Linked DNA regions of Schizosaccharomyces pombe. The gene in region 1 interacts genetically with each later gene. Each region holds a gene or a part of one and is shown in the gene's direction. Other genes may lie near its edges. The genes, in order: trp1322, cis4 and apm1.

Region 1 (11,438 bases):
TGATGGTGATGTTCCGAATCTTTCATCGTGGTTTTGTATCGATAAAATTAACGAATGTTGGTTTTGAATAAACTATTAACAGTTTAGATTGCAAAGGGTATTCTTTTCACCGTAAAAGAAGAAATATCAAAGGAAATTAGAAATAATGGAATTAAATGAAAAAAGGTATTTTCCCAAGACTTAAATTACTATAGGGTTCGAAATACTTAACTCTTTTCTTTTTTCTCTATTTTTAGTAAGAGATCTCGATGGTTTACCATGAATTCCAGGATATCTTTTATCTCTGTTTCGACCAATTTAACATGCAAGCAAGTTAGATTATATTCAAAGAAACGTGTCTGATCTCTAAAGATAAGGCGCAGACAGAAATGCAAAGAACAAATGTCAGATATATTTAGAGTATTTCAATCGGAGCAATTCCGAAACAATCCAACTTCTGCATATGCACGTTTTCTAACGTTATTTCTCTAACAATCTCAATAACTGCTAAACAACAGTTTTAGCAAAAAAGTTTGTAAAGGAAAAAGTAATATAATAATTCTCAAAACAACCAATTTTCTTTAGGAATAAGCGATATTCAGCGTAGTACCACTAGATATACTTGCGTTGCTCGCTTTGTATATATATGGTAGTTGGATTGTTACAATGGCAGGGTGACTGAAGGATGAGCAAACGTAAGAAACACCGGTATGTACCGTCTTCGGAGCCGAATCGTCCGCGATGAGCATCTCAAGGATACACTAAATAAGATAGTGCGAAAAAAGGAGAACGTTATATAAAAATACTCAAACAAGAATCAAAAAAAGTGAAATAAACGATAGTAAAATTCATATTTGTATTAGCCAAAAGGAAGAATCATTATAAAAGAAAAGCTTGAGTTTAGAAATGCAATAAAATATGCAAAAACCAAAAGAAGGAAGCAAGATTCTGCGCGTTTATTCTTCCATGTTTATTTGTACTGTGCATGAGAAATGAAAGAGAAATCTGTGTTGTATGATCCATAAAATGTTTCTTATTCAAAAAAAAGTGAGTTATACTTATGACTGAATAGAACGAGTTTCTGGTATACCTCCATATCTAAAGGAACAGGAAATTAGTTAATCGGTCAATAGAATGTAGGACTTAGCAGAAGCAGAAGTTCAAAGGACTTCCTTATTATTTTTATAAACACAACTTACCAATATCAGTGCCAAAATCAACACAGGTTAAAAGCTGCACCGAAGAATCTGGTTTGACAGAAACGACAAATTCATAGAAATGATTGGGTTCAAGAGTGTTATCCTAAAATTAGTTAGATAAAATAAAAAAACTCTGAAAACCGATTGTAAAATAGATAAAACGTACCACAGTGAGGTGCATATCGAAAGAACCGTTGGAATCGACTTTTGCAGTTTCACCTTCAACTTGATTCGCCTTGCCAACAATCCGAACCGTTTTTCCAGAGCATTCTGGTAGCATATCTTTCGTAACTCGAGGTGTAGGGCGTTCCATATTATTTTATACGCGTTGTTTATAAAGTGGTGGAAGTGAAGTATGTATCAGACCAGGTAGTTAACTACTTGTTGACACGAATTATTTAAAATATTGGAACGCAGTACGTTATGTATTATATGTTGGAAGGCGCTGGGATGTAAATAAAAAAGCAAAAGCGTAAATATAAACGCTGGGGGCTAACGTTGATACATTACTGTTCTATTTTTTATAAGAATTATTCATAAAAAAATCTCCTTGTATCCTTCTGCGTTAATTTCACTACTTATTAATTGGTTGAAATGTTGTAAATAAACGGGTTAAAGACCAATATAAATACGTCTTACATATAGTGATTTAAATAACATTATGGAAAGATTTCATGGTATTTTATACTATTTTTGAAATCGTCGGCGACTCTTAATTTTCTCTCTTTTCCAATACCACTATTAGTAAATTGCTTAGGCGTAGACCAGAAGCTTCAATAATTAAAAGTAAATGTAATTGATGGAAAGCAGCCTTCTTTTAATGATATAATTTTTCAATTAGTTTTACCTTGAGGTTGTGATTTCATGTATTTCACTTTGAAGTCGCCCATCCCCTCGACCATTCAATTCAAAAAAAAAAAAATCAAAAAACTCCATACTCATATTGAAATCTTTCTTCTGTTACATTAGTTATTAAACCACTCTTCATTTACATTTGCAGAGCTTGTTACCTTAATACTTGCTAGTACCTAAAAGTGCTCTGGTTCAGCTCTCTAGTCGAATTTACCATCAACACTATTTTTGGTGTTACTAATTATAGGGTTTTTGCCCATGAACTATAGGCAATTGTTTCTTCTTCAAAATGTTAATTTAGAGTCTAATTATTTATTAAAACGTGTATGCCTGTCTTTAAAATTGTCTCCTTGTAAACTTACAAGGAAATTTCATCATGCTTGCCCTTCCAGTTCAAAAGTTTTGAAATATTTCCGCATAACTGGATGCCTAATAAATTTCGGGAAACAACCAGCAAACGATCATCATCTTTGGGGACATTGTGGTGCGCGTTTGAAGCATACTCAATCAGATCTTATTGATCGATTTAAAAATGCTAATTTGAAATCCGTGAATGAGGAAAACCTTAAAAAATTTTTCTCTGAATTAGAAAATCATGGAAACATTAGACAGTGGTTGAAAGACAAGTTCGAGAAGGACAAACGCGCTGCTGTTTGTCCTACTACTACAAAATCTGAGGAAGAGAAGTTGGAAAATGATTTTGAGTATTCTTTTGATTTAGAAGATTTCAGCAGTGAGAATTTTAGACAGTACGATCGTGGAGATTTGCTAGTGTTTTATAGGGGCTCCGAAGGCATTGAACTTGCTGCATGCACTGGTACTAATGTTTGGAACTATAGTAATGTATTGACCAGCATTAACGAAAACGGTACTATTAAGGAATTTCGTACATCTAGAGTTTTACTGAGATGTCCTAATGTCTTTAAAAAGCTGAAAGAGGTGCAGCAACCTCTTTCTGATGTTTCTGTTCCTTCTGATGTCCTACCTTTCACTATAAAGTTATTAAAAAAAATCTCTCAAAGAGCACAAGATTTAAGTCGAAGTCACCGAAATGAATTTTTGCGAATATTGACAGAATTCAATATTCCAAATAAACTTGACAATTCAGCTTCTTTTTCAGACCTTTTGAAATTTGTGTACAAAACTTCGAAGCCTAGCCCATATGCTAAAATCTCATTGTTACACTTTTTGCTTACAGAAAGCAAACATTTTTTAATAAGCGATCACATATTTTCCGAAATTCAAAAAGTCTATTTCCTTCCCTCTTCACAAAATGATTCTTTTGACGACGTTGTTGCATGCCTGCGTCAGAAATCAACACCATATCTTTCGTTTATAAAGAAAGCTCGTCATTTAATTCAAGTTTCCCGAGATAAATATAAGTTACCTATAAGCACCGAAGAAATAAAACCCGTAGTTTATTCACAGGTCACTTGGACTGAATTTGAAAAAAAACTATTGCGGTATCTTGTTCAGGAAATGATTGCAAAAAGTATTCAAAGTTTACCAAATACACACTTGTGTCAGGTTTACAAAGAAGTTGGCCTTCAAACTCACGAGAGGGGATTAACTAGTGATCAGTTTGCTAAATTCTTAACGGATATTGGCGTGTGGGCTTCATGGCAGCCCCCGAGGTTGTTTCAACAGGAATACAGCATTGCTGGCCTTGGTACTAATCCTCAGTTAGATGCTGTGTATGAACGTGAGTGTAATCACTTTAAAAAGTTTGTAAAAAATGAATTAAAAGATTCACTTGAATCGCAACGCGTCGATTTAAGGCATCTTAAAGCGTTCGCCTTTGATAGTTCTTCTACGAAAGAGATAGATGATGCGATTTCGGTTGAAGAATTAGGGATGTCTAATTCCTGGCTTCATATCCATGTTGCTAATCCTACGAGTACAGTTGACATTCGCAGTCCTTTAGGCACGTTTGCTGAAAGGAACTTTCAAACTATTTATCATCCCAACAAAATTGTGTATATGCTACCTCTCAATATCACTCAGAAATATTGGAGTTTAGATTCATCTTCTACAGCTCAAAGAGCATTAACTTTTAGTGCTAAAATTTCAAAAAATGGCGATATACTTGATTACAAGGTTCGGCCTAGCTTCATTTCCTCAGTTATCAAATACACACCCCAACAACTGGATAAAGCTTTGCATAGTAATCGATCAATTGCGAAAGACATCGTTTCTGGACCAGTGGATGAGGAAACAAAAGGAGTATCAAATGATCACATGAAAGATATATTAAGAATATATGAACTTTCGAAACAAGCCTGTTTTTCTAGGTTACAAAAGTTTGCGTTTGTTATTGCACAACCCACTCCGACAGTTGAATTGCTGCCTAATAATGTCCCTTATAATCTTGGTGATCTGAATCATCCAGTATACTGGTCTTCCTTCCCTACAATTAGTTTGAACGTTAGTGAAGGGTATAGCTTGGCAGAATCAGTAATATCAGAGTGCATGATATTGGCTGGCCGGGTTTCATCATTATTTTTTCAAGAACATAAATTACCTGGGATTTTTAGGGGCCAGCCTTATCCAATTATGGATGGTGTACGAAGAAAAGCGTTTGAAACTTTGTTAAGTAACAGGTCATCTTGGGGACTCGTTGAAACTAAGTATTCACTTTCTGTAATGCCTTTATTTGAAAGTTCACATTTAGCCTCCACACCTGTTTCCCACTTTTCTTTGGGGCTAAAGGATGGCTATATTCAGTCTACCTCTCCTTTACGCCGGTTTACCGACTTCTTCACTCATCATCAGATTCAGTCGGTATTATTAAAGACTCCAAAAAATACTATACCTGATGGTATTCTTCGTGGAAAACTAAATTTGTACAACCAAAAAGAAAAATCAATTAAAACTATAGGAAGATACATTAATCGTTTCTGGGCCTTAAAATATATAGAGAGACTTCCAAAGGTACAAAAAAATATTTATCATGGATATTTAATGGTTTCAGAACTTTCAACACCTCAGGTCATGTTGGAAGAATTGGGTGTTAAAGCGCATATTGATATTCTCCCGGACGAAGCATTCCGGTTAGCAAATACTCGCCAGGCATTTACAATTAAGGATGTCTTTCCGGAGTCTAATATCCTATTAGTTGCTTTAGCGACCTAACAAACTTATTAAAACTATTTTTATGGATATAATTTTACTTAATTAAATACTCAATCCTGCATTTTATCAATTTACCGAGACTTAACGATATAAATAAATTATGTTTTGGGATTTGATAGTAACCTGTTTCGCCAAAACTCATCTCAAAAACCAACAGGTAGTTTTACTATGAAGTCTCTTTGTTAACCTTGACTCTTGTGATTAAAATATATTTTCTTTTTCTATTTTTTGTAAGACAAGAAGCAAATGTCTTTGGATGCTTATAAATCCATCGACGAAGTGTGCTGCGTTGTTTAAAATCTAAGTTAAGAAAAATGATTGAATCTAAAGGTGAAACAGCACCCTCTTTAAATTTAAACGACGTTAATGTTGAAGAAAATGATGCTGCGCAAAGTTTTGCAGAGAAGGTTCAGCGGTTTCGATACCAGATGAAAGTCCATGCAGCACCGCGACAGAAAACGCTGCATTCTTTCCTGAAAAAGGATAATGCTAATATTCATGACTTTACTAAAGTTGAGAAACCACACATTCGTTCTTCTAAATCGAAGGTTTCTTATAACAGTATTACATCAAGAGTTACCAAATATTTTGAAGAAAAAAATAATTCCGTTGATCAATTGCATTCAGAAAGCTTGACCCCATTAAGCTTTGGCCATACCATTCCCAAGAAAAAGCCGTTACTTATGACGGCTTCTGTTTCAGAAGATTCTAGAGTTCGTGTTAGTAAGAGACAATTTAAGTCCAAAGTTGTTCATCCAGAAATTGCTATTTCTATTGCTAAAAGGCATAAGCCAAAGTTTCCTCTGTCTGATGAACTCATGAATGTCGAACCTGGGTTCCACCACAGCAATATCGGTTGTCAAATTACGCCTTACTTATGGATATCATCATTTAGAACTAATGTCTATTACCTAATTGGAAATGAGGGTGACTTATTGTCCCAACAAGTACCTTCGATAAGTGGGGAGTTAAACATGTTGAGAGGAGTATGCACCCGTATCGATGATGATAATCGCTATGATATTGAACAAGCTGGTTCTTGTTTTGGTATGTCGGTATTTCCAACCTCTGATTCTGGAGAAGAGTCTTTTACCACCCTTGAGTCCGATCCGATAGTTAATTGCGAACACGATGAAAAGAAAGTTGCTGATAATCTCCTGGTTCCTCAAGTAATGTGTTCTTCTAATATTTCAACGTTCTTTCGAAGCCCTGGTGGAAAAAAGTTGTATCATTATTTATGGAAAAATTCAAATGCCCTACGTATTTCCTCAAACGACCTTCTCGAAATACTTTTAAAGCACGGTGTTTATGTATCTTTGGACACTCTGCACTCGTGGCTTCAGGAAAGAAACGTAAATTTTGAAAAGTGAAATATTTATGTTAGACTAAGTATAGCAAACTTTTGGCGAGCTGGTCCCGTAATGATGATTTAATGTACGTTATATATCTAACAAGTCAAGAATATTATTTCAATAATTTTAAATGTATATATTTATGTGATAAGTTAGAACTAAAAATAACGAGTAGATAGCTTGTCTTAATTTTGAAGGACCAAAGCAGAAGGGACTTTATGACTCGAGTTTTAAACGTCTTTGAGAACGTTACTGAGTTCTTCTTGTCTTATTTGTTTTTTTTTATATCTCAATAGCGCTGTATGGTTTATAATATATGCATATAAAGCGCTAATGTTAGGACCTTTTCTTGAGCAGATTTGTCTTTGGAAAATAACGAAATAGTATATTATTATGTTATTTATTTAACGAGCCGGAAATTTTTCATAAAATTTCACTAACGTGCTGCGTAGTTAATCTTTATTATCTAATACTAGGACAAGGAACGCGAGAGCATGTGTTTGTCATTAACTACACACACGAGAAATAGCAATTTATGTGTTTCGCGTCTCTGGCCTACTTATATCTTACAAAGCATTCATTTTTTGAAACCTTCTTTTCTTTCTAAATAACTGCATTTGTAATTGCTCAAATTACCAACCCTGAGCAGTTAAAGTCTTTTTCAAATTTCGTTTCATAGAGAATCAAAAGAATTCAAGGTTGGATCTATTTATATTAAAATTTATTAGAATGTTTGTGTTTGGATAATAATGAAGCCTCGCCCGTACTCTGTTTTCCTCTTTCTTCATATCGTTTTTTACAGCCTTCTTTCAGCAGTGAATGGATCCCCAAGTTTGGATTATTTTGAGACTTGTTCAAACTTTGTACCGAGAGCAGGTATTCCTACCTTTAGCCCATATGCAGTTATCAAGAATTTTGATGAAGTGAATCGGATGTACTACATTCAAGTAGTGGGGAATTTATCCGGAGTTATAACGATTGTGGGTGGAAATGGCTCACATATTCACGCTGCTTCAGTTTATTCGGAAACTTATGCGTTAGGAAAACTGGTCACATCCAATACCACAAAGCTTTGTGATGTTGTTATGGATCCTCATTCTTTTGAAGTCCCCATAAAATGTCCTTGGGCAGCTGGAAGTGCCGCTTTCATGGTTAAAGTTCCCTTTAAATCCACCTTGTCCGATTACTCAAAATACGAATTGACTACATTAACAACGCGAGTAATCGTTGTTGACGGTACTCCCGAGAAAAATGTAATAACTTGTATGAAGTTTGGTTTGTCCACAACTTTGTATTATTTTTATCCAGTTATTTCATATTTGGTTGTTGTGTCGCTCGCATATGTCTCGTTTTCCATTATTTATGCTCTTTTTTTAAATCCATGGACCGGCAGTTTAGATCCATTTAAGTCGATTTTTAATTTTAATATGGACCCTGATGCTCTTCGTTTAACATCCCTTGGATTTTTTGATTTTGTGCAATACTTGCAATTTGCTGTTTCTACAGCTCAGGTTAGTGTTATGTTTCCAAAATTTTACATAAATATTATGGCTGCTCTTTCTTGGGGCACTGCTCTATTTCGATTTCCCATTTTCTCCGAGCCTGCTGAATATCAATTTGCAGACTTTGCCGACTTGTCTGTAGCATCCTCTAGTTATGCGGATTATTTGCCTAAGTCATATGGCATGTATTCGTTTCTCGATTCTATAGGAATAGGTACTGCATGCTGGCTTCCGTTTCTTATAGTCATGGTTATTTACTTATTTGCTGCGTTATTTGTAGCATTGTTGGTTATTTTTTTGAAATGGCTTATGTCTAGAATTTTCAATGAAACTATTGCCGAAACTCGGTGGGATACTTGGAGCTTCATTGCTGGTTCTCTGATACGTCTTTACTTCTTGACATATTTCCCTACCGTCGCTTATATGTCATTCCAGTTTGTCGCACCGCCCACAGGTTATGAAATTATCCCCGTTTTGTGGTTTATCTTTTTTGGAATCTTTATTCCGGTGTATTTATATATGAATCTCGCTTTTGTTGAACCATCGTCCAAACTTCTTGAAGATCAAACATATTTGCATTTATTTGGCTCTATATACAATTCGTTTCGAGAAGAGAGAGTTATGTTTTGGATCTTTCCAATTGCCGTACAATTTATGCGTGGTATTACGGTTGGTGTCATAGGAAGTTCCGGCTCTGCACAATTAGCCATATTCTTTATACTTGAAGTTGCTAATGTCGTGGCGTATGCTTATGTGCGACCACATTTCCCGCAGACGAGTATGAATACGTTAAACACCTTCATCTCTACCATGCGCTTGATCACGGTTATTCTAATGATTCCCTTAGATCCTCGATTAAAGGTTCTTGGCATTAGTAGAGATTTACTGGCCTATGCAATTTTGTTTATTCACATAATGGTTTGTATCCTTTTCTTACTTCTGTCAACTCAACGATTTATGGAAGTCAGTGCACGGTTATTAGGTGCTAAAAGTGAGAGTAAAGGTGTCCCACTCGATCGACCATTTGGTTGGGCCAGGGTATTTGGTATTAATGAATTGAGACGCCGGCGTCTTAAGGATCCATATTCCAATGGCAACACAATGATGTTTGATCATTCTACCTACAACTCAAATGAAATGTCAGTGCCACTTACGCCAGTCTCCGTTTGTTCTAATTCCCTTAAGAAGGATGGCGAGGCTGCTCCGCCAAAATTATTCGTTCAGACTAACTGTATTCCTCCAGTTACGCAAGCGTCGAGTCTTGTCCCTTCTAAGAACAATACAGCATCTTCAAGTAGTCTAATGTTGGATTCTCCTGTTACTCCCAGTTCTCCATACAGCACATCACAAGGATATTCATTTTACCGTCCACCTAAACCAAAGTCATCTGTTCGTAAACGGGACATGGATCAACTACGTGCTTTACAATTAGACTTTTTAAACAACAAGCCTAATTTACTACGCCATGATGTTAATTACGCGGTTCGTGAGGCCGATGTCTATCATCCACACGTAGACACAAGTATTGACAGTCTATCGCAAATCTCTTCGCAACCATTTGAAATGAGGCCCACTGCTATTCCACCTCCTCCGAAAAATGCATTTCAACGGGCGTGGCAAATTGTCCAATCAACAGCTAAGTCCATATGGCACTCAGACCCCCCGAAAGAATCTGAAAAAGGTTTCGTCGTTTTACGTTCTCGTCCACGGCCAAATTTGCAAAAGCCTCTTCCTCAGTTGCATATAGAGCCTTCCCGTGATGAACAGTACTCCATGGAGAGAAAGAAAACCGATGACTCATTAGCGGAGTCAGCCTGGTCGATTCCACATCCATAACTCCACTTTCGTTCGTTAATGTTTATGATTTGTGAGAATTTTGTTTTGTTCTTTTATTTTCACTTTTCATTTTTCATTGTTACACTTTACTTTTGCTGTTTCTTATTTCGAAATACGGAACGTATTCTTTTTTTAATTTATTTCAGTCACATTTTGAACCTCTAATTGTTTCTTTTTGAAACGTTTTTTTTCGCTATTATGACGGTAATCCTATTTTTTCTCTTACCTGTCTGCTCTCTTACTACTTCATTTCATTAAAGCTTGCATTTTTTTTTCCTCTCCCATACAGTTTCATTTACTAAAGGCCAAATTTAATAATCCCAAAATCTCGACTTTTGTTGTCTTAATATAGCACAAGTGCTTTCTTTGCTCTATCGGCAGCCCATTAAAGTCGAAATTTTTTTTCGTTCAATTTCGTATATTTTGTTGTTGTTGTTGTTCCTTTTATTTTAATTAGCATTTTCTATTATCCACCTGCCTTTTCATACCAATCTAATGCTCGTTTTTTCCCTAAATCTTTTTTCGTTAACCTTTTATGGTTCTTACATTTTCTCAGTTATCAAGTTAGCTAACTTTCTTTAACTCACATTTCTTTATTATATAAGGTTTTTTTTCATTAAAGAAGCTTGCTTAATAATTCGTTTTTTTTTGTTTTTCGTTTTTTTGCTGACAACTTCAAATCCATATTACTTTCGCCTCGCTCTGCTTAGCAGAACCTTTGTTTGAATTTCTACTCGCCTTCCTTGGCCTTTTTTTGCATACACTAACTAACTAGTTGGTTCATTTTTAGAGATCTACTGCGTTTTGCATATAGTTAGTTAATAATGTTCATATTTTAGAGCCATTTTCCATCCTCCATCGGCTAATAAGTGGTGTTTTCCGTCTACATTAAGTACCTCTCTTTATGAATAATATTCTTATATCGGATATTTCCAAACTTTTCGTGTACATTCGATTTCGATAGCTGTTGCGATGTTGCCTAGGTAACTACGTATAAAACCTTGGAACACGGTAATTGATTATTGATAATTTGTTTACGTACGGCGAAAACCCCACCAATTGATTTCCGCCGTCATAACAACCCACTTTCTTGTTGTAAACAAATTTGTAAATAAATAAAAATTTTACTTGCGTTCAGCAAGCATGTTTTTCGCAATAAACCTTTAGAATGCGACGTTGGAATAGATTGAAATTTTTTGTAGATTTATTAATGTCATGTATGATTTAACAAACGTTTATCGTCCGTTTGGCCATGCTCAAAGTTGAAAATTGTCGGTTGTTGTTTACACGTAATCTAAACAAATGTCGACAGGAAAGGTGACGTAAGTGCCGCTATATAAAACGAGCACCTACTTGTAACTTACTCTCTCCGTATATCATAACAAACATTGAAATTGTTTGTTTTAGAGGTTTAAAGAGAACGTTTTAACTTCGAAAAGAGACAGAAGCACTATGGATTTGGCACCACGTCCCCTCGGTCGTCAGCACAGCAAGTCGCAATCGGCTTTTGCTTTTGACAACACCGCTACCAGTATTGCTGCCAGTACTATGAAGAATGAGCTGAATCACTTGGCTAGCACCGTAAA
Region 2 (9,963 bases), on another chromosome or scaffold:
CAAGTAACTTTTAGTTTAAAACTGTTTTTGTGTACCTCCCAAATTAAATGTTAATGCTCCGCTAATCGGTAAGCTAATCCGTGAGAAAAAATGCATTAATTTTTCTTGTTTCGTTCAAGTCAACACATTGCAAATAAAGGTCACTAAATTTACAATTCAGGATTTTTAAATTGAAATATTAAACATAATACGTGGACGAGTGCAAAAAACTACCAGTTTATTTAAATAAATAAAAAAAAAATATCATAACATGTATTATCGTAATCTTTTCCTTAGACTGCTCTTCACACGATGTCTGAATAACCGTCAACAAAAAGCTATTTATAAAAATTTCAGAAACAGGTAGTCTCCTTCACAGCACTGCGAACGAAAACTCTAGGGAAGCAAAACAAACGGAGTTTATCTGCCTTGTTATATACTCGTTAAACGACAACTCAACACACACCACTATCCACCACCAACAACAAAATCCTTAATAAAAATGTCATCTCATAAACCCGTTCGTCCTAATGAAGCTCTTCACAAGGAGGCTTTGGAGGAGCTTGATGCTAAGATCAACGAGGCGAAAAAGCGTTTCGTAAGTAGTTTTAAATTCTTGAATATTGAAGGCTAAGCTTTTTTTTTTTTTCATAACTATGAAAGCTTCAAAAAATCACTTGTTTCTTATATAGTTTTCGCATCTTAACTAATCAACTAGAATGAGCATAAGGAGAAGCTTGGTGCCATTCGCGGTGGTGGTTCATTGCAGGAGAAGAATGCAGAACTTCGCGCTGAATTAGACAATATTCGCAATGCTCAAGCAGCTATCCGTTCTTCTAAGCAAACTCTCATCAACAAAGTCAAGGCTCAAGATGAACTTTTGAAAAAGAAGGTATGTTTTGCATTAATATATGTAAGCACTAAAGTTTTGTGTTGGAAAACTTTATGAGCTTGGTAAAGAAACAAAATGTTTACTGACATACTTTTAGGTTAAGGAGTTGACTGCCATGAAAAAAACTGTTCCTTTCAAGTCAGAAGTGGAGCTTGATAAACATGTTAAACAACTTCAAGCCGCCGTTGACTCAGGAACTTTAAAGATTGTTGATGAGAAGAAATACCTGCGTGAAATTTCTCAGTGCAATCGTACTAGAAAGAGCTTCGTTGAGTTGAACGCTCTTCAAACTAGTATTGATACGATTAGAAATGAACTTAACGAGCTTCGTGATCAACTTAATGATTCAGAATCAAAGAAGTTGAGTGACAAGTTCGTAGAAATCCGTTCTGAGCTTGATGAGGTTCGTAAGCAACAAGACGGTTACTATAAAGATCAGCGTAAGCTCATAGCAGAAAGAGATGATGAGAAGACTGCACTCGATGATCTATATAATCAACGAAGAGCTTTACAACGTGAGTACGATACCCAATTGCGCGCATTCCGTACTTATGAACGTGAACAACGTGCCAAAAGACAAGAACAGTTTCGTCTTGAGCGTGAAAATCGTGAGAAGGAGAAGAGAAGAATTGCTGCTCAACGCAAGTTAGAAGAGGCTAGTATTCCTGCCTTTACGGAAGAGATTCTTGCCTGTGAAAACTTATTAAAGGTGTTTCATGTTCCCGTCGAATCTTCTACTACAAATGCCGTTTCAACCGGAAATACTTCTAGTAAAATTTTGAAGCCACGAACTTTGACTCCTCGCACTGTGGATCCAATTCCTGAAGGAACTATTATTAAGAAAGAGTCTTCCGATGATGCCATGTTTAGCGGACTTAAAAAATCGAAGCCCAAAAAATCAAACAAAAGCAACAACAATCAAGCCGATTCTGATAGACTCAATCTTTCTTTTGGCACTATTAAGGAATTCGATTTTGTCGGTGTTCCTGCTCCTTTCACTAAGTCTCAAGTTGATTCAGCCGTTGAACAACTTAAGTCACGTATCGCCCATTTTAAAGAGCAGCAAGACTCTGTTACCAAACAACGTATTGAGAAAGCCAAGCAGGAAATTGAAAAACTGGAAGCTAAATATAATTCTAAAGAAGAAAAAACTTTAACTGAAGCTGATATGGTTATATCATCTGAAGAAACTGTGACAGTTACTAATGATTTGGAGGTGGAAGCTACAGCTTAAAGTTATTGAGGTTGTAGCTAATTCTTATATCTCTGTCATTAAGTTTCTTAAGTGAATTGGCTGATGACTTTAATAGTTTTGTATACAATCATTTTGAATTGAGAACATTCAAGTATTCCCATTATTTCTATTCAGAAACTTTACAGTATATTTATATAAGTATTTTGTCTATCCTCGTAGTATTGACACTTCAGGTTCAAGTGTTATGTTTGTGTATTGAACTCTGTGGCCCTTCTATCTGTAATTTTAATGTCCTGTTTTGGTTAGAATAGGTTCTGCGTATATATCATGTTCTTACCTTTTTTCTGAATTCGATAACAAAACGTTGCAAATACGCACACTTTTCCATAAAGGTATGTAGACTTGCTTCTTTATAACGCTTTCTTCTTTTGCCAAATCAACATGGAGTAGAGTGCTTCCAAGATCCAAATGGTTATATTCTTTCCTGAACAAACTGTCTTCAGGAAAATCGTCAATGGTCACGGCTTCATGGTCTAATAAAATGAACAAATCAGATAATGTAGTATGAAACAAACAGCTTTCAGCGATAAAATGAGAAGCAAGATTCGCTCCATCGCTTTGAACTCGAAAAACGCAAGTACCGTTTTTTTCTGCTATCTCTCTTGAAAGACTTCCAAAATCTTGTCTCACAAAAATTTTGAGACCACCATGCACGAATTTAACACGATTACGATTGTTCTCAATTACGTTTCTGAAAAGATCGTTGGAAATATAAATGGCTTTCGTAGGGACACCATTGACATTTCTAACGAAAAACTGATTCTTCTTTATGATAGCTTCATCAATGCCAAACTTCTTATAGATTTTCTCGAGAGCTTGATCGTCCTCTTTTATATACACGAAAGGATCCAATTCGTGAAATCGATTGCCCCCATTTTTTCCTTTTGGTTTAACTTCGGCTAATTTTGAATCCGAAGATGTTTCTTGAGTATCTTGTTTACGTTTTTTTGATGCTTGTTCACTTGGCAACTTTTGTTCTCGTAAAAAAACCTTGTTATCGTCGACGGCAGTTTTCATAGAGCTAGTAAGATTTTCATATTTTTCTAAAACTGCAACAAAAAAGCCTCCAGTATTTTGGAAATGTGGATAAATACGTAAGCAATTTTGAATATTCAGCTCAGCAAGTTCTTTCTTTGGTAGTGGCCATAAAGTAGGAGGCATTTTTTCGTAAAGCTCCTTTGGCAAGGTATCAAATGAAGGATAAATATTTAGATCGGAATCACAAACTACCCAGTTATCAACACCTTGACTACGTTTTAACTGAGGAAGCTCCGAACTAACATCCACCAACCTTACAGAACCTCGGGTAGCATTCAAGACAGCAGAAACCACTGCCTCATTTTCAATTGGATTTAATGAACATGTTGAATACACCAATCTTCCTCCTTTTTCCAACAGTTGTAAACCTCTCATTAAAATCTTAATTTGTGTCGCGTGAAGCCCTAAAGCTGTTTTCAAAGACCACTCATTCCATAAAGCAATGTTTTTTCTAAAGGTTCCATCTCCAGAGCATGGGACATCAGCAAGGATACGATCAAACTTAAGGAACTTTTTACCGTCGGGAGAAGATAGATGGAAATTCGGCAAAAAGGAAGCATCGTGATTAACAATTAACACATTTGGAGAATTTAATCGCTTAATCTGATGTACAAGCATATGCGCTCTTTTATTGTCACTATCATTTGCAATAACAATTCCTGAAGGCAACAAAGTAGTAATATCTTCTTTCTTAGTTGGTTTGTGAAGTGCCTCGAGTAATTGAGCTGTCTTAGAACCAGGCGCCGCACACATGTCCAAAACTTTGTGGTGACTCTCTACATTAAGAAGTAATGGTGGAACCATACTTACAGATTCTTGCCTGTTTATGTCACCCGCTTCTGTTTCAAGTACAAGAAATTCTTGAAGTGCCTTGAGATGAGGGCTTTTTCGAATAACTTCCTTAGAAATGTCCAGCATAAAAGCCATTCCATCAGGATACCATGGAAGTGAAACTGGCAAGGGGATTTTCGCATCCTCAGTTCTTGCATTCTCAATGAGTGGATAGTAGTGTTCTATAAAATAATCACGAACTTGAGTAGCATGACTTTTAAAATGATTAGAAACAAAAAATAATAATGTTTTTACTTACGGAATCGATGCAGTTATTCGAAATGTTGTCGGGAGTTGTTCAGTAAGCTTTTGCTTTAAAAGGATAAAGTCATCCTCCGTCACTAATTTCTGAAGCCTGTAGTACTTTTCAAAGTTTTCATTTCTATCTAGTAAGTAAACATAATCTGAAGTCATGACTCACTTTCTCTCAATTAAATCCCAGTTTACAAACTCCCCTTTTTTAGACCTCTATTTAATACACATTAGTAAGATAAAAAATAAATTAATTTCGTACTAACATTTTTTTTACTAGAATAATGCTTACGACCCATCTTAAACTCCTCCTTTTCCTTATCAACGTATCGAGTTGGTACAAGACAAGCAATTTTCAATGCTGGATAGTGCGTATTTTGTTAGCAGATTACAAAATTACTTTGACCTATTTTCAAGGAAAAAACTCTCAAAAATATTTTATTGAATTAACAAGAAGTTATATTGTCTGCTTTGCGACATTTTCTACAGATCTTGGATAACTCAAGAATTTACGAATATTGCACATTGTTATTGTGGATTTGCTTCGCACCTAAGTGAGATTATGAGGGGTTGTACATGAATTACTAAAAATGAAACTGTACGAGTGCTTACTTTTAAACATCAATCTTATATTATCTTAAAATCTCGAATGTATAAAGACTGTGTTTGTGTTGGTTGACTTAATTTAGCGTGTTAGGTCTTTTTGACAACTACAACCATTTCATGTTCGATTTAGAATATCTCAAATTTAGTTAAACAGAAGTTTGACTATAAGACGCTTTTAATAACTTTCAACGTTTGATTTTAAATAGTTAAGACCACTTATTAACTTTGTCAAATTAACTTAATGCACTTTCACATCCAACTCAGGATTTAAATTTCAAAACAGGATTACTCTTTATTTTGTTTTCTTTATTCTTTAGTTAAGTTTTGTTAATCATTCAATTTTTTAATAGTCAACCACAGCTTTTGGGTGTTCCTGACGACAAAAATGAATGTTAATTCTTCTGCGTTCGAGAGAACCAATAGGTTCCCTTCTTTTCCTGTTTTAAAAGACGACCAAAAGACAAGTTCTGATTCAATTGCTGCAGCTAAAAAAAAAGATTTGTTATCGCTCATTTCGAGTAAATCTTTGCTATCATCTGAAACACTAGGATGGTTTTCTGTAATTTGTGCATTCTCCATTACTGGTTCTGGTCTTGAAGTCAATACCATGTCGATTCCATTTTACCTTATTTTTGGCATCTTTGCTTTTGTCAGCTTTACTACTCAATATTTGGGCATCTATTCATTTTCGTTCCAACCTTTTCAGTTATTAAATGTAATAATCGCTTCTTTATCGATGGTATTCATAACTTTAGGTGCCTTTGTACTTGGAACTCTAGACACGACTTGTTTGTTATTGCTAGCTTTCAAATTATTTTTTATTCGTAACGATCCTACACCATTTAATGCCAGATCTGCTAATTTGAAGAACTATATAGCATTTCCAATATGTCTTTTTGTCATTAATCATATCCTAATACTGTTGGGTTATTTCCAATGTTCTTATTCCGTTTTTTATGCCAGCGTTTTTTATATACTTCTTGGTGTCTTCATTCGAGTCTTTTACCTTGTGAACAAAGAGAAGTTTGAAAAGAAGGAATTGGCATTCCTTTTTTCTTCTATCGTTGTGGCTTGTCTCATTCAATTTAATGTCCTTCCGCTTGGAACAATCAATCTATCAGTCACTCGTTTTACCATTCTTTGTTTTATGCAAATTTTTTGCATCAATTGGGATGGAATTGCCAGAATTCAATTTTACTTGGGAAAATTCGATATTTCTTTAATTATGGCCCTAATTTCTGCCATTATTAACAAGACAGCTTCTCAAAATTCTATCAAGATCATATCATGCCTCTATCAAGTAGGATTTTGCTTCTTTAAAATTGGTTCTTCTATAACAGCAAACTTGAAGCTTCCTGACAACAGCCGTATTTACCGACTTTACAATGATTTCATAGTGAATGGAGTGCTTGCCGATAAAGAGTCAAGAAGCATATTTTATTTCTTCCTTTTAAATGTTTCTTATATGTTTGTGCAAGTTATTTATGGTCTTTGGACAAATTCTTTGGGGCTTATTTCAGACGCAATTCACATGGCTTTTGACTGTATTGCTATTCTTGTCGGTTTAGTTGCTACGACGCTTGCCAAGATGCCTCTAAATTATGCTTACCCCTTTGGATTTGCAAAAATTGAGGCTCTTTCGGGTTTCACTAATGGTATTTTTTTAGTTTTGATTTCATTTTCTATCGTCGGCGAGGCATTATATAGGTTATTTCATCCGCCCCAAATGAATACCGACCAATTGTTGTTGGTTAGTTTTTTGGGCCTTGTTGTGAATTTGGTAGGTATCCTAGCGTTCAATCATGGGCATAATCATGATCATGGGTCTCATCACCATCATTCCCATAGTAATCATAGTATGTGTCTGCCTAACACTACAAATGATATAAATATTTTTGAAGAGTTTGAAGAAGAAAAAGATAATGTTGAAGCCCAGAAAATGGGCTATACGAATGACGATCACGTATCCCAACATGAACATACCCATGAGAATAGTCAGGAACATCACCATGAGCATAACCACAATCATGATCACATCCATAAATACAATGAAAAATGCGACCATGAAAGCATAAGTCTCCAGAATTTAGACAATGATCATCACTGTCATCATCACCATGAAAATCATAATATGCATGGCATATTTCTGCATATTATCGCAGATACTATGGGCTCTGTTGGAGTTATTGTCTCTACTATATTAATACAGTGGTTTTCATGGACCGGTTTTGATCCTTTGGCATCTCTAATAATTGCTGCATTAATATTTGTTTCTGTACTTCCATTAATTAAAGATTCGGCGAAGAATTTGCTCTCTGTGACTGATCCAGAATCGGAATATTTATTGAAGCAGTGTTTGTCGAACATCAGTTTAAGTAACTCCGTTATCAGTTTATCCAACCCTAAGTTCTGGACAAACGAAAGAGGTGAAGTGTATGGAATACTCCATATTCAGGTGAGCATAGACGGTGATTTAAACGTGGTTCGTAATGAAGTATTTAGGAAGCTCTCAATCGCTGTACCAAATTTAAAACACATTTGTATACAATCTGAACGGCCAAACAATTGCTGGTGTGGAAAATAGTTCTTACATCAGTTGATATCCATACTTATTTACGTGTAATTTTAATTAGATGAATTAATATTTTCTTTATTAGCAAAATTCCCATTATTTACCCAATCTTTATAATAGTGTTTTGAAGGACAGACTTTCTAAAAAAACCCCGAGGTCACTTTTTTGACACTCAATCACACTTGCTTCAAAACAGTCCATTTGCAAAGTAGCAGATGTCATGTTTGCAACCTCTTGAAATGCAACTCCAAAACGATTGTGTCCATGACCGTCGTCATCATCGTCATCTTCATTGCTAGTAAAAGCGGAAGTAGAAGTTCCAACTATTAAGTACCTATTTTTTTCCTCTACAAAAGCTGCTAAAACAAGAGGAAGATGTCTAAGCTTTCCAAATTCTCGTTCTTGCTCCTTCAAGTGTTAGTCAAACGTTAAAATCAATAGACACTTACATTAATAGCTTCAGCAATCCAAAGACTCATCTTTGTTAACGCAAGGGGATGCATAAATATTTTCAGATCTGGTCCTTCGTTGATAAGTCCAAAACGAAAAGATCTCAACGTTTTAATGGCTCTTTTTTCAAGTAAGGTGATTCCAGTACGAACAATGGCTCTTTGTAAGTGCATTGCTAACTTCAATGCTCTTTCTAATGAATCGACATCGTCCAAGGCGTCGTATGCATCATAAAAATTGTGCAACCATTCTTGATTTTGAGCATTTTCAAACTTCTCCAAATATTCTTCCTCCGTCATATCCGGGCTTCGAGCGACAGTTTTGCTTTGAAGCAAAACACCTGTATTACCCATTTCTAATAATGCACTGATAGCATAAGAAACGTCACTTGCACTAAGTGTACATTTGAATCCATAAGTCCGAGTAAAACTATGGAATATCACATCGTCTAAACCATAAAACGGTGCAAATCTTTTAAGACTACTTTTCAAAGTTTTTTTTAAATCCATGTTCATGTGAATATAAGTTTGTTTACACTCCACCAGACTGAGTCCCATTTTTGCAAGAAGCTTATGTAGTCGTTTGCGTCCTTCCTCGCTCCAAATGTGAAGTCTCGAACCAACGTAAGCAGAATGAAGCATAGAATCATAAAGACTCCAATGTCTTACTAGCATAAAACGAAATTCATCTTCAAGCCGAATTGACTGATCATGGGGTGTCTTACCATGTGCGCGACCGACTATTTGATTTTCAAGTGGTGAAGGGTTCAAGCGATTGACTTCATCTTTCAATAAAGAATAGGACCTATTGAAGTATTTTTTTGAGGATTGGCAGTGAATTTCCAAGCAGGTGAGCCCAACAATCGCTAACCACAACATGTCATTATCCTCACGTCCAAGCATGGATGCTACTGCAAACAGGATATTGGTAATTGACTCGCCGTACCAACTTCCTTTCTCATAATATTCAGAAAGGATAGAGGCGAACTCTTTCCGTTTTTTCCTTTTCTCCTTAATTTCAGCTCGACGTTGCGTCGTTTCCTCTGAAAAACGCCTACGACTTCGTGCTTGATAATCGGATGAGCTGTAAGATTCCACAGATCGGTTGTCATCTTCGACTTCCTCCTCTCGCTCATTACTGGAATCGGAATTTTCTTCATCTGATAGCTCATGCGAATTAAATGCATACCAAGCATCATGAATTTTATTCATGTCTTCTTCAATATCTCCATCGTCGAAAACAAAAATATTGTTTTCAATGTATATATTATTTAGATTATGCGGCCTATGAGAATCAATTACATAGATAGATACGTCTTCCATAGAAACAAGATAATTATTTAGATCCACCATCGTTCCACAATTCAAAAGTATAATGAATTTGATATCTTCATTTTGCTCTAGCAAAGTTTTATTTGCTTGTTCAAGGTCTCGATAGCCCGATACAGGCCTAATTTTATGTGAAATAAAATCGCCTTTCAAAAGTGTGGACAATAGCTTGCATGCACAAAGCGCGTCTGGGTCTAAAGCAACAAAGAGCTGAACTGTGCATCCACCAGATACACTTGCTTCTTTAATTTTCAAGTAAGCAGAGGCGTAATCGGATCTCTTGATGAACATTAATAAATAAACGTTACTGGTGGTGGATCATGGAGGAAATTACCAGGTGGTCAGTACAAAGGAAGGTAAAGCACTTTGAGTCGCTTTATATTTCCTAAACAATAGCGCATTAATATACAAGTCAAAGCTACGCAATAGTAGTTACAAAAAAAAGAAATTTTTGTAGGCATTGCAAACAACCCTTTCTCATTTTATGCCAAATGCCAAAAATCATATTATAATTACTCTAGTTACTAAATTTTTCACTTGAGCTACCTAAACTATCGTAAAAATAATTTGTAATCGCTGTTTTCTGGTGATATAATCCAAGGTGAACATGTGCACAACGAATTTATTCCGAGCGTTCGAACATTTCGTCTTTGAATCAGTGTAATAAAATCTTAAATTAAAAACAGCAGCAACTTAAAATGCGTTCCATATATACAAAGATTCGTCCCAACCAACACTTGCAATCCAAGATCCATCGCCG
Region 3 (9,363 bases), on another chromosome or scaffold:
ACGACAATGGATAAAAATTCCTGAACATGTCCCTTAGCAAGGCTACTGTGGTCCTTAAAAAGAAGGACAACAAGCTTCAATGCCAACACTGCCATCTCTTCATTATCATTAACGACTATACGAAGAAGCACGGCAAAAGTCCGATTAACGAATGCTTCAAAACCTTTATAGGATCCAGATTTCTTGAGCAATTCAAGCAATGCAATGCGTAAACGATGTGTAGCTGCTAACGATGAAAATACAGGACGTTCCTTTTCAAGCAAAGACAACGTGTCCTCCAAAAGAGGAATGAAAGTTTCAAAATTCGTCTTTTCAGTTACCAACACATCATCCAGTGCATCTCGAATTTCAATTGCTGTGTTTGCCTTTTGCTTCGAGTCTAATCCAACATCACAAAGCCGATTATGCCAATGTTCGCATTGTGATACATCCATCAGATGCTTGGATCTCTGCGCAAGCTCTTTTTTAAATTCCAATTGCACTCGGATACGTTTTCCTAAGTATTTAACAATTACTATTGGAATGTTGTGGGATAGAGCAAGCTGCATTTCTTTCCTCTAAATCACTTTATGAATTTTACATGTTTTCGCTATTTTAATTAACGGCCTTATTATTTTGTGCGGTAGAAGTTGCTAAAATGATGAACGAGATAAAAATAGCGAGTGATACCACAAAAGTTCGTTTAGCCTCAGCTGCATAATTTGTCGTAAACAAACCATTCATTCATTAATCTGTTCATTACCATTTTTAGGCTACCTTTTAGTCAGTGATCTTTAATATATCTTACCGATTAGTAAGTTAATTGATTTCCAAAATGAGTAAAGCTATGGCGTTGCGACGGTTAATGAAGGAGTATAAGGAGTTAACGGAGAATGGGCCTGATGGTATTACTGCAGGTCCATCGAATGAGGATGATTTCTTTACTTGGGATTGCCTAATTCAAGGCCCTGATGGAACTCCATTTGAAGGTGGGTTATACCCTGCTACCTTGAAATTTCCTTCCGTAAGTCCTTTACTATAAACCTGATGGAGACTGAACATGTGATTTAAGTTGTGGATAAGTATGATGTTTCGCATGTTTTATGTATCAACTACTTATTAAAAAATACGCGCTCTTTTTCATAAATTAACATTTGTTCAGCGTAAATAAAGAAAGTAACTCAATAATCCATTCGTTTAGAATGATCATTTAAGAGAAGTGCTTTTATTCATTAGTAATTGATGAATCCTTCGATTTATTGATGAGTAGGAAGAAATTTTATTTAAAAGATCTATCTAAGTTTTTTTTTGGGGGTTTGGTTTCTTTCTTTGAATCGCATGGCAGTACATCCGGGGTGTTCAAGCGCACGTTGATACGTGCTTAGTTTTATTTTTATTGGATTCTAACTTTTTTATGTAGGATTATCCTCTTGGCCCCCCTACTTTAAAGTTTGAGTGTGAATTTTTCCATCCAAATGGTATGCCAGATACTATTAATCCAAATTTCGAGACTAACCTTCATTTCAGTTTACAAAGATGGGACGGTTTGCATTTCCATCCTACATGCACCTGGTGACGATCCAAATATGTATGAGTCGTCTTCAGAACGTTGGTCTCCTGTTCAATCTGTTGAAAAAATACTGTTATCGGTAATGTCGATGTTGGCGGAACCAAACGATGAAAGTGGTGCTAACATCGATGCGTGCAAGATGTGGAGAGAAGATCGAGAAGAATATTGTCGTGTAGTTCGACGATTGGCTCGTAAAACCTTGGGATTATAACCATGAATTGTATATTTGATTAGATTGCCATGAATAACGAACCTGATAAAATCTAGAAATAAAGTTTTGTTCCATTTTTGAACGCAACCGGTAGGCTTTTCTCTTTCTATTCCAACGTATAACGCTACATAGGTTTAATTACAAGGTTTAAACAAAAATGAAAGCACTTTTCCAATTCAATTTCTATCTGTAAATGATGGAAGATAAACATTTTGTCTATTGAGATAATCCATCTTTTAATAAACATCACTTGAACTTTCTACACAGATACATGGCAACGTACATCGCTGAAAACGAATTATATTGAGAAAACATCTAGAAATTACACAGTAAAAAACTTAACAAAATATAAGAATAACCCCAAATTATGCTCCAAAAGAAAAAAAAAATGCATCAGGTGCATAAAAATATTAGCTTCCCACAACCTACAAAAGAAAGAGGTAAATTTTTTTACAAAATAAAAATCAGAAATTATCAAATAAAACGATCATATTCCATCTTCCAATTTTTCTTCATCACCAGTGTTTTCTTCACTACCTTTAGCAATCTCAAAATCCAGAAAAAGGTCCATTACTTTTTGCTGATTTCGAATATCAGCTTCATATATAGGTGACTTCTCATAAATATTCTTAATATGAGGATCACCTCCCGCTTCCAGTAGTAATTTGCAAATTTCAGCATGTCCATTCAGTGCTGCCCAATGCATTGCGGTGTTTCCACTCTCATTCTGAGCATTTATTACTTCTTTATTCAAGTACGGGATTATTTTTTGAACAACAGCGATGTGTCCATTAGCACTAGCCATATGAAGTCCAGAGTTACCATTTTCATCACGACGACTTAATTCTTGTGGACATTTCTCTATAATCTCATCTAGTAACTCCTCATCCGCAGCTCTACAAGCGTAAATTAAATCATCAACATCCATATTAAACTATCCAATCCAGTAAAGAAGGATGTTTTACCGGTTTATTTGGAAAGAGAATGATGTGAAAACTGTTCGTTTGTTAGTGTAAGGTAGCCGCGGCTTCTCCAACTTGGCTTCGGCAAGGCCGTGGTTACTTACTACACCACAAATTCCATTGCAATTTTATATAATTATTCAACGAGAACCTGCCTTCTACAGCAGGTTAATTTTTGATTTATAAGAAGGAGAAAAAGAAGTTACAGGAGTGTTTATTTCCGAAAGTCATAGAGATTTAAACCAGTATATATGCTTTCCTTGTAAAAAATTTCATTGCTCACACAGCTCTCGATTCCTCATCTAAATAGCTATCTGGTAGCGATTGGTAGACTATTTTTTCGGGTTTATTTCCCATTATATTTCAGACACTCTTTTTGACCTGCGAAACTTTTTGTCCTCATTTTGTATCAATTGACTTCAATAATGGAGTTAGAAAAACGGATTTATGTTGGTGGCCTTTCATCCTCTATTGAATCTTCAGATTTGGAATCCAGATTTTCTCGTTTTGGAAGTGTTTCAAATCTTGAAATTATAAACAAATCTACTCCAGTAGGAACTATACAACGATTTGCATACTTGAATTTTCGAACAGATGAAGATAAATGGCAGAAATGCAAGTCTTACTTATCAAATGCGACGTTTAAAGGAAGTAAACTTCGTATAGAGGAAGCTCGCCCTTATTATTTAGTAAAATTGCAGCAGGAAAAAAAAATTGCTGATCTTCAAAGTACTAATAATGATGAGAAAAATGAAGATCACTCCAGCAAAGTTGATCTGGAAGACCCAGTCTTTCATGGAGAAATAATTGTTCCCGGAAAACATAGTAAAAATATGCAGGTGGTCACGGATTCTGATGTTCGGAAGGATCCTCCTAGAAAAGGTTGGAAAAAAGGCCCCTATGGAAGGGCCATTGTCGTGCTTCGAATGTATAATAAAAATACTAAGAAAACGAGGTTTTTTTATCCGCTGGGTAAAAACTGCTTACAAAAACTATGGGGCCGAGTGGAAACGAATATGGACAATACTACAGCTTTTTATGATTCTGATCATGATGAGTATGTATCATATGGGGGTAAGAGAGCTTCTCGTGACAAAATACGTATGCAAGCAAAATTGGGTATCAAAGCTTCTACTCAGAAGGATGATAACGATTTTGAACTTCTTAATAACACAACTGGGGAGATTGAAGTCACAAAAGAATTAAACGAAGAGCAATTGGATGCTTTGCGAAAAAAAGATAAGGATACGGCTGCATCTGTGTTAGCTGAACTGTTTGGTTCTGAAAATACAGAAGAAATTGATACCGTATCTAAAACTTCAGGTGTTTTGGAACTGGACAATGATTCGACTAATAATTTCCAAAAAGAAGGTTTGGATGAACAAGATAATTTACAAAAGGAAGAGTCCGTACACATAGATGTTCCTGCTGAATTTGAAGCATTTGATGAGCGTACTGCTGTTGTTAACGTTGACAATTTAAAAGAAATGTTTTCTTCCAATGCGCAGGATACGTCTAAGTTTTCTCTTTTTGGCAATGAAAATGGAGTTGGTGAGGAAAGTGAAATGGAAAGTGAGATTGATGACCGTAATTACGAAACTATGGAAGAAGAGGCAGATGGGGAAACTCCGCTAGCTATAGTTAAAGCCTCATCGGGTACCAAGGGTTGGCCAAAAATGTTTACTCTACCCAATCCTTCTTCCCTATTCCAACCAGGTAATGAAGATTATACGAGCAGAGAAGCTCTTGAATCCTGGTGGTCGGAAAATCGTCTATTCTTAACTCGTGATTACAAACGAAAAAGAAAAGATGCCGTAAAAAGACAGCGAAGGGCTCATGAAAAGCGTATTCGACTTGTTTAAAGACGCGTATAGGTTATGTATTTATTGGGAATTTATTTGGGTATTTTAAGGTTACGAGGTATATATTGATTTTTTACACACTTTTGGAATCTTTACGTTGTTATTTCTCTATCCTTTTTATTTTAGAAAAAAATCTGTGTCTTTTTAAAAAGCCACGATGTTCACTTTGGTTTTATCATTGGTGAAAGTTAACAACTTTTTTCGTTGCACTTTCTTGGGATTTGTGGCTTTTAATATTTACAATGTTTGAGATCAAATTTTATTAAAATATTTGTTATTCTTATTGTTATAAGCCAAAGTTGTCAAATAAAACATACCGAAATTTTCTTACATTGTCAGAAAAATTATTTTCCTTTTCGGCATTTACAAAACCATATAATGTAAATTAGTTATAATTATCTGAATAGATTATCTTATAAAAGAAGACTGAATGTGTGCATAGAGTAGTAATTACTCAATATAAGAAGAATTTCGTACTATATGTAAGAAACAGAAATAGTGAATTACGCTGTATTACACTAGCGGTGCTTAGGCACGGTGATGAGGCAGCCAACAGTCAATGCTAGTTATCCAGAGCGAAACTAGCTGCCTTATTCGCGGCTTCTGTAAAAATGGCTTCTGCTATATTCGTTCTGAATTTAAAGGGAAAGGTAATCATTTCCCGTGATTACCGGTAGGCAATTTTGAAATCTGAATGAAAATCAGATTGTCGCAATTCGTCGACAGGTTACTAACAGAAAACAATTAGAGCTGATATCCCCATGTCAGTAGTTGAAAAGTTTTTACCTTTAAAATCAGAAGTTGAAGAAGAACAAGGATTCTCCACCCCTTGTCTCACTCACGAAGGCATTAACGTATGTAAAAGTTAGATATTATGAAAGCCAACAATTCTTATTTTTTTATGGTCGTACTAACACTTTTCAGTACATTTACATTCACCATAATGATGTCTACCTCCTTGCTTTATCCAAAATGAATTCCGATGCAATGGAGATGCTAGTATTTTTGCGTAAAATGGCGGACGTTTTTATAGATTACTTTAAAGAATTGCAGGAAGAGTCGATTCGAGATAACTTTGTTCTTGTTTATGAATTGTTAGACGAGATCATGGATTTCGGTTTTCCACAAACAACTGAAACAAAAATCTTGCAAGAATACATCACTCAAACCTCAAATACGGTAAAAAAGCATGCTCCACCCCCCATTGCTATGACAAATGCTATCTCCTGGCGTTCTGAAGGAATTCACTATCGTAAGAATGAAGTATTTTTGGACGTTATTGAATCAGTTAATTTAATTGCTGCTGCCGATGGTACGGTCATTCAAAGTGAAATCTTAGGAAAAGTTCGTCTCAAATGCTACTTATCAGGAATGCCTGAACTTCGTCTTGGGCTCAATGACAAGGTCCTTTTCGAAGCGGCTGGTCGTACCATTAAAGGAAACACTGTGGAAATGGAAGATGTGAAATTTCACCAATGTGTTCGTCTTGCTCGATTTGAAAACGATCGTACAATTTCGTTCATTCCTCCTGATGGCGAATTTGATTTAATGTCCTATCGCATGAGTTCAAATGTAAGTTATTAGTTTGTGCCTGTTCTTTTTATTCCCTCTCTCCTTTATCAACGTTTTCTAATATTAATTTCTCGTTAGGTACGGCCATTAATTTGGGTTGAATGTGAATCCATCGTGCATTCAGGTTCGAGAATTGAGTTTATGGTAAAAGCTAAGGCTCAATTCAAAAAGCGTTGTATTGCAAATAATGTCCAAATCATCATTCCCGTTCCGGAAGATGCTGACAGTCCTCGGTTTCAAACTAGCAATGGTCATGTGCAATATGCACCTGAACAAGCTGCCATGGTTTGGAACATTAAGAAATTTGCAGGTGGTAAAGAATTTTTCATGCGTGCTGAAATGGGTTTACCAAGTGTTAAAAATGAAGATATTCAAGTTCAGAAAAAACGTCCTGTTCAACTAAAATTTGCTATTCCCTATTTCACTACCTCAGGGATCCAAGTTCGTTATTTAAAAATCACCGAACCAAAACTTAATTATCATGCTATGCCTTGGGTTCGATATGTTACACAAAATGGTACTGAATATTCCATCCGTCAGTAAATGTTTCTAATGATGGTTCTCCGTTCCGTTCTTTTTTCTACCTTTAGATACCTTTCCCTTCATCTATATATTTGTTTTCTTAGTGTACTGATCCCATTTATTACGAAATGAAATCTTGTTTGCAGACGCGCTAATCCTTTTTCTTACTCAGCTGACATAAAAGGAGCATTTGCTTGAAACATAAATGTCTAAGTCTATTTATTGTATAAAGGATAAGTTCAATGTTTTTATTAAAACAGAAATAAAGATTTTCTAACATACAATTCCATTTACTCAGTAGTGAATCTCCGTGTATTAAAAATACATAAAAGACAGATTGTTCCAAACGGTTTTCTAAACATAATAAATTAAAAACCAAAAGCGAGAGAATGAGAGGGAGACCGGATAGTAAGAAAAAGATTGAAGGGAAAAGTTTAAAGGTCTAAGGGTGTAATGAGTTTTCAAGTACGTATTTACTTTGGAGGTTCAATTCCGAAAAACTTAGCACGGATGGACCACATGTTTTCACGGATGCTTCGTTCCTTCTCGCCCCAATACGGTGACGGAAACTCTTCTTCAAGAACAGGTGTAGCCTGTTTACACCAGTCGTGTAGCTTGTTAATGTAGGTAGCGTCTTTTGGATAATCCAAAGAGTGATACATATTATTTGCTCCACTCAGCGAAAACATTAATTCGTCTTGCCATTTCAGCTGCTCTTCTTTGCTGGGTAATTTGAGGCGACCAGACCAAACTCGCGCGAGGAACGCTGCCTGTGCTTGACTAGTAGGGAAAGGAACAACGTGTAGAGCTAAACCAACAAAAGCCAGAGTTGGATCGGGGATATAAAATATATGTTGATAGACATTGTGCACATGACTACCATCATCAATCAACTTGGTTTCAGGGGATTTCAACTTAGCCAGGGAAGGAAATGGTACGGAATACAAGTATCCGGTACAATAAATAACTCTGTCAATATTAGATAACACTTTTCCACCTTTCAAGTATATTTCCCTAGTGGTAGGATCGAACTTAGTAATTTCAGGTACTTGTTGCAACGATTCATTCTGTATGTCCCCTCCACCAAGAAGACTTTGATATATAGGGTGCTTAGCGACTGGCGTCAAGTGTCGGACGAGATCGTTTGCAGAAGAAGCACCACCAACTACAAGTACTGATTCACCCACGAATAATTCTGGTTCACGGAATAGCGATGAGTGTAGAACTGACCCCGGCACGGCTTTAGCGTATTCATCGAGACCTTTAATATTGGGGATATAGGGTACTTCATAATGACCATTACAAATTGAGACTGCATCAAAGATATCTTTACTAATCGGGCTTCCGGCTTTCGTTCCTTTGTATGTCACGACCCAGGAGCCATCCTTCTTTTCTATATCTAGGACATCGGTGGCTAATTTTATAAAGGGCAGCAGAGGTTGTGCATATATCCGTTGATATTCCTGAATGGTATGTCGATGGGGGAATTGAAGAGTTTGGGGTTTAAAGCTTTGATCACAATAACCCATCAACTCAATTGGGGTATTAGTTTGCAGATCACGATACAAAGGTGAAGGATACACAGGTAAAGCAGCTGGTCCGACAATGGGTTCGGTTGTTAAAATGGGATTTGTGCTAGGAACCGGTAACTTATTTGATAAAGTACTTGTATAGTTCCAAACACCACCCGGAGACCCCCTTCGCTCAAAAAGCGTGACCTGGTCAAACGCCTTTTCTGCTAACAGCGCTTTAGCCGTAACTAATCCAGAGGGACCAGCACCAATGATTGCAATTTTTCGAATTGTTGGAAGACACATAAGAACAAAAGAGAAAATGATAATTTTTTGATTAGTACCAAGTAAATTAAGATATTTTTTTTTCTGTACAAAGAATAACAGAATGAAACAATATCCAATTGTGAAGGAGTGTAATTGAATGAAAACTACACTTTATGTGCGTTTTATATCTTTGCACGTTCCGATTGTCCTCAATCTGCCAGGGGGCCTTGAAATCGCTGATAAAGCTATAGCTTATTGGCTAAAAAATAGAAGTGCTGGTTAGCGATACACATATTGAAGCCAGACACTATCTGTATATATAGTTTGTTATGGATTCAAAAACGCATCCGCTTTTCGCAACTTTAAACAATCTTTTCATCATACTCAATATTAAGCACGACTAAATTACAACATCCGATCAACATTTTAGTAATCCAAGTTCTGTTATAAGCGAGCCATATGACAAAAATGGGACATTTGAATTTCTCATTTAGAGCAAATTAAAATAATAAATGTAGTTTACACCTCTTGATGGATTTAATAATTAAGATCAAGCTGATATCCGAATGTAAATTTGACCTTGGCAACGGATTATCAAAGAGAAAATTTTTTTAGCGTCCAATGATAACAGCGTTTAAGAATTAGTTACTTATAAAGACCGAAGCGATCTTCCAGATAATGAATAGCAATACATTAGATGTGAACCTATTAATGTTGTTTAAAAGATCTAGTAAGGGCATTTTGAAAGGAAATCATGCTGATGAAAAAAAAATATATCTTTATCTTCCTAACACTTCTTGCAATGGCCATAAGAGAAAGTACGTCTCTGCTGCTCATACTTTTCAAGCATGTTGAATGCTTCAAAGTAAATGATTATAGTAATTTCCCAAATAAATATAGTTAGGTG

What was found.
Region 2: of trp1322 (region 1) and cis4, extra expression of one rescues a mutant of the other (dosage rescue), as found in Schizosaccharomyces pombe (one study listed by BioGRID).
Region 3: of trp1322 (region 1) and apm1, extra expression of one rescues a mutant of the other (dosage rescue), as found in Schizosaccharomyces pombe (one study listed by BioGRID).

Annotation. Positions count from the first base shown.
Region 1 is NC_003421.2:1,280,874-1,292,311, forward strand, and holds trp1322 (TRP-like ion channel protein), read left to right. Parts: upstream 1-7,016; 5' UTR 7,017-7,263; coding exon 7,264-9,852; 3' UTR 9,853-10,938; downstream 10,939-11,438. Other genes in the region: pdr16 (sec14 family protein), read right to left, coding at 1-26; DNA replication factor A subunit Ssb3, read right to left, coding at 1,013-1,077, 1,179-1,281, 1,345-1,491; rpm1 (3' ssRNA-specific 3'-to-5' exonuclease), read left to right, coding at 2,289-5,162; pxd1 (protein Pdx1), read left to right, coding at 5,477-6,532; fyu1 (UTP-glucose-1-phosphate uridylyltransferase), read left to right, coding at 11,305-11,438.
Region 2 is NC_003424.3:4,724,334-4,734,296, reverse strand, and holds cis4 (Golgi zinc importer, CDF family, Cis4), read left to right. Parts: upstream 1-4,955; 5' UTR 4,956-5,238; coding exon 5,239-7,437; 3' UTR 7,438-7,515; downstream 7,516-9,963. Other genes in the region: SPOM_SPAC458.02C (mRNP complex protein), read left to right, coding at 482-577, 698-871, 969-2,105; trm401 (tRNA (cytosine-5-)-methyltransferase), read right to left, coding at 2,302-2,359, 2,404-4,209, 4,255-4,377, 4,417-4,463, 4,514-4,546; DNA replication pre-initiation complex subunit Cdc45, read right to left, coding at 7,537-7,833, 7,875-9,494; pex7 (peroxin-7), read right to left, coding at 9,897-9,963. UniProt on the Schizosaccharomyces pombe protein: Probable zinc transporter involved in Golgi membrane trafficking through the regulation of zinc homeostasis.
Region 3 is NC_003423.3:1,904,985-1,914,347, forward strand, and holds apm1 (AP-1 adaptor complex mu subunit Apm1), read left to right. Parts: upstream 1-5,156; 5' UTR 5,157-5,195; coding exon 5,196-5,257; exon of another isoform or gene 5,258-5,332; coding exon 5,333-5,438; exon of another isoform or gene 5,439-5,508; coding exon 5,509-6,156; intron 6,157-6,234; coding exon 6,235-6,699; 3' UTR 6,700-6,831; downstream 6,832-9,363. Other genes in the region: SAGA complex, phosphatidylinositol pseudokinase subunit Tra1, read right to left, coding at 1-434; ubiquitin-conjugating enzyme Ubc7, read left to right, coding at 815-1,003, 1,400-1,457, 1,507-1,760; ribosome biogenesis protein Yar1, read right to left, coding at 2,248-2,688; ribosome biogenesis protein Nop8, read left to right, coding at 3,148-4,584; fmo1 (flavin dependent monooxygenase), read right to left, coding at 7,152-8,495. UniProt on the Schizosaccharomyces pombe protein: Component of the adaptor complexes which link clathrin to receptors in coated vesicles. Clathrin-associated protein complexes are believed to interact with the cytoplasmic tails of membrane proteins, leading to their selection and concentration.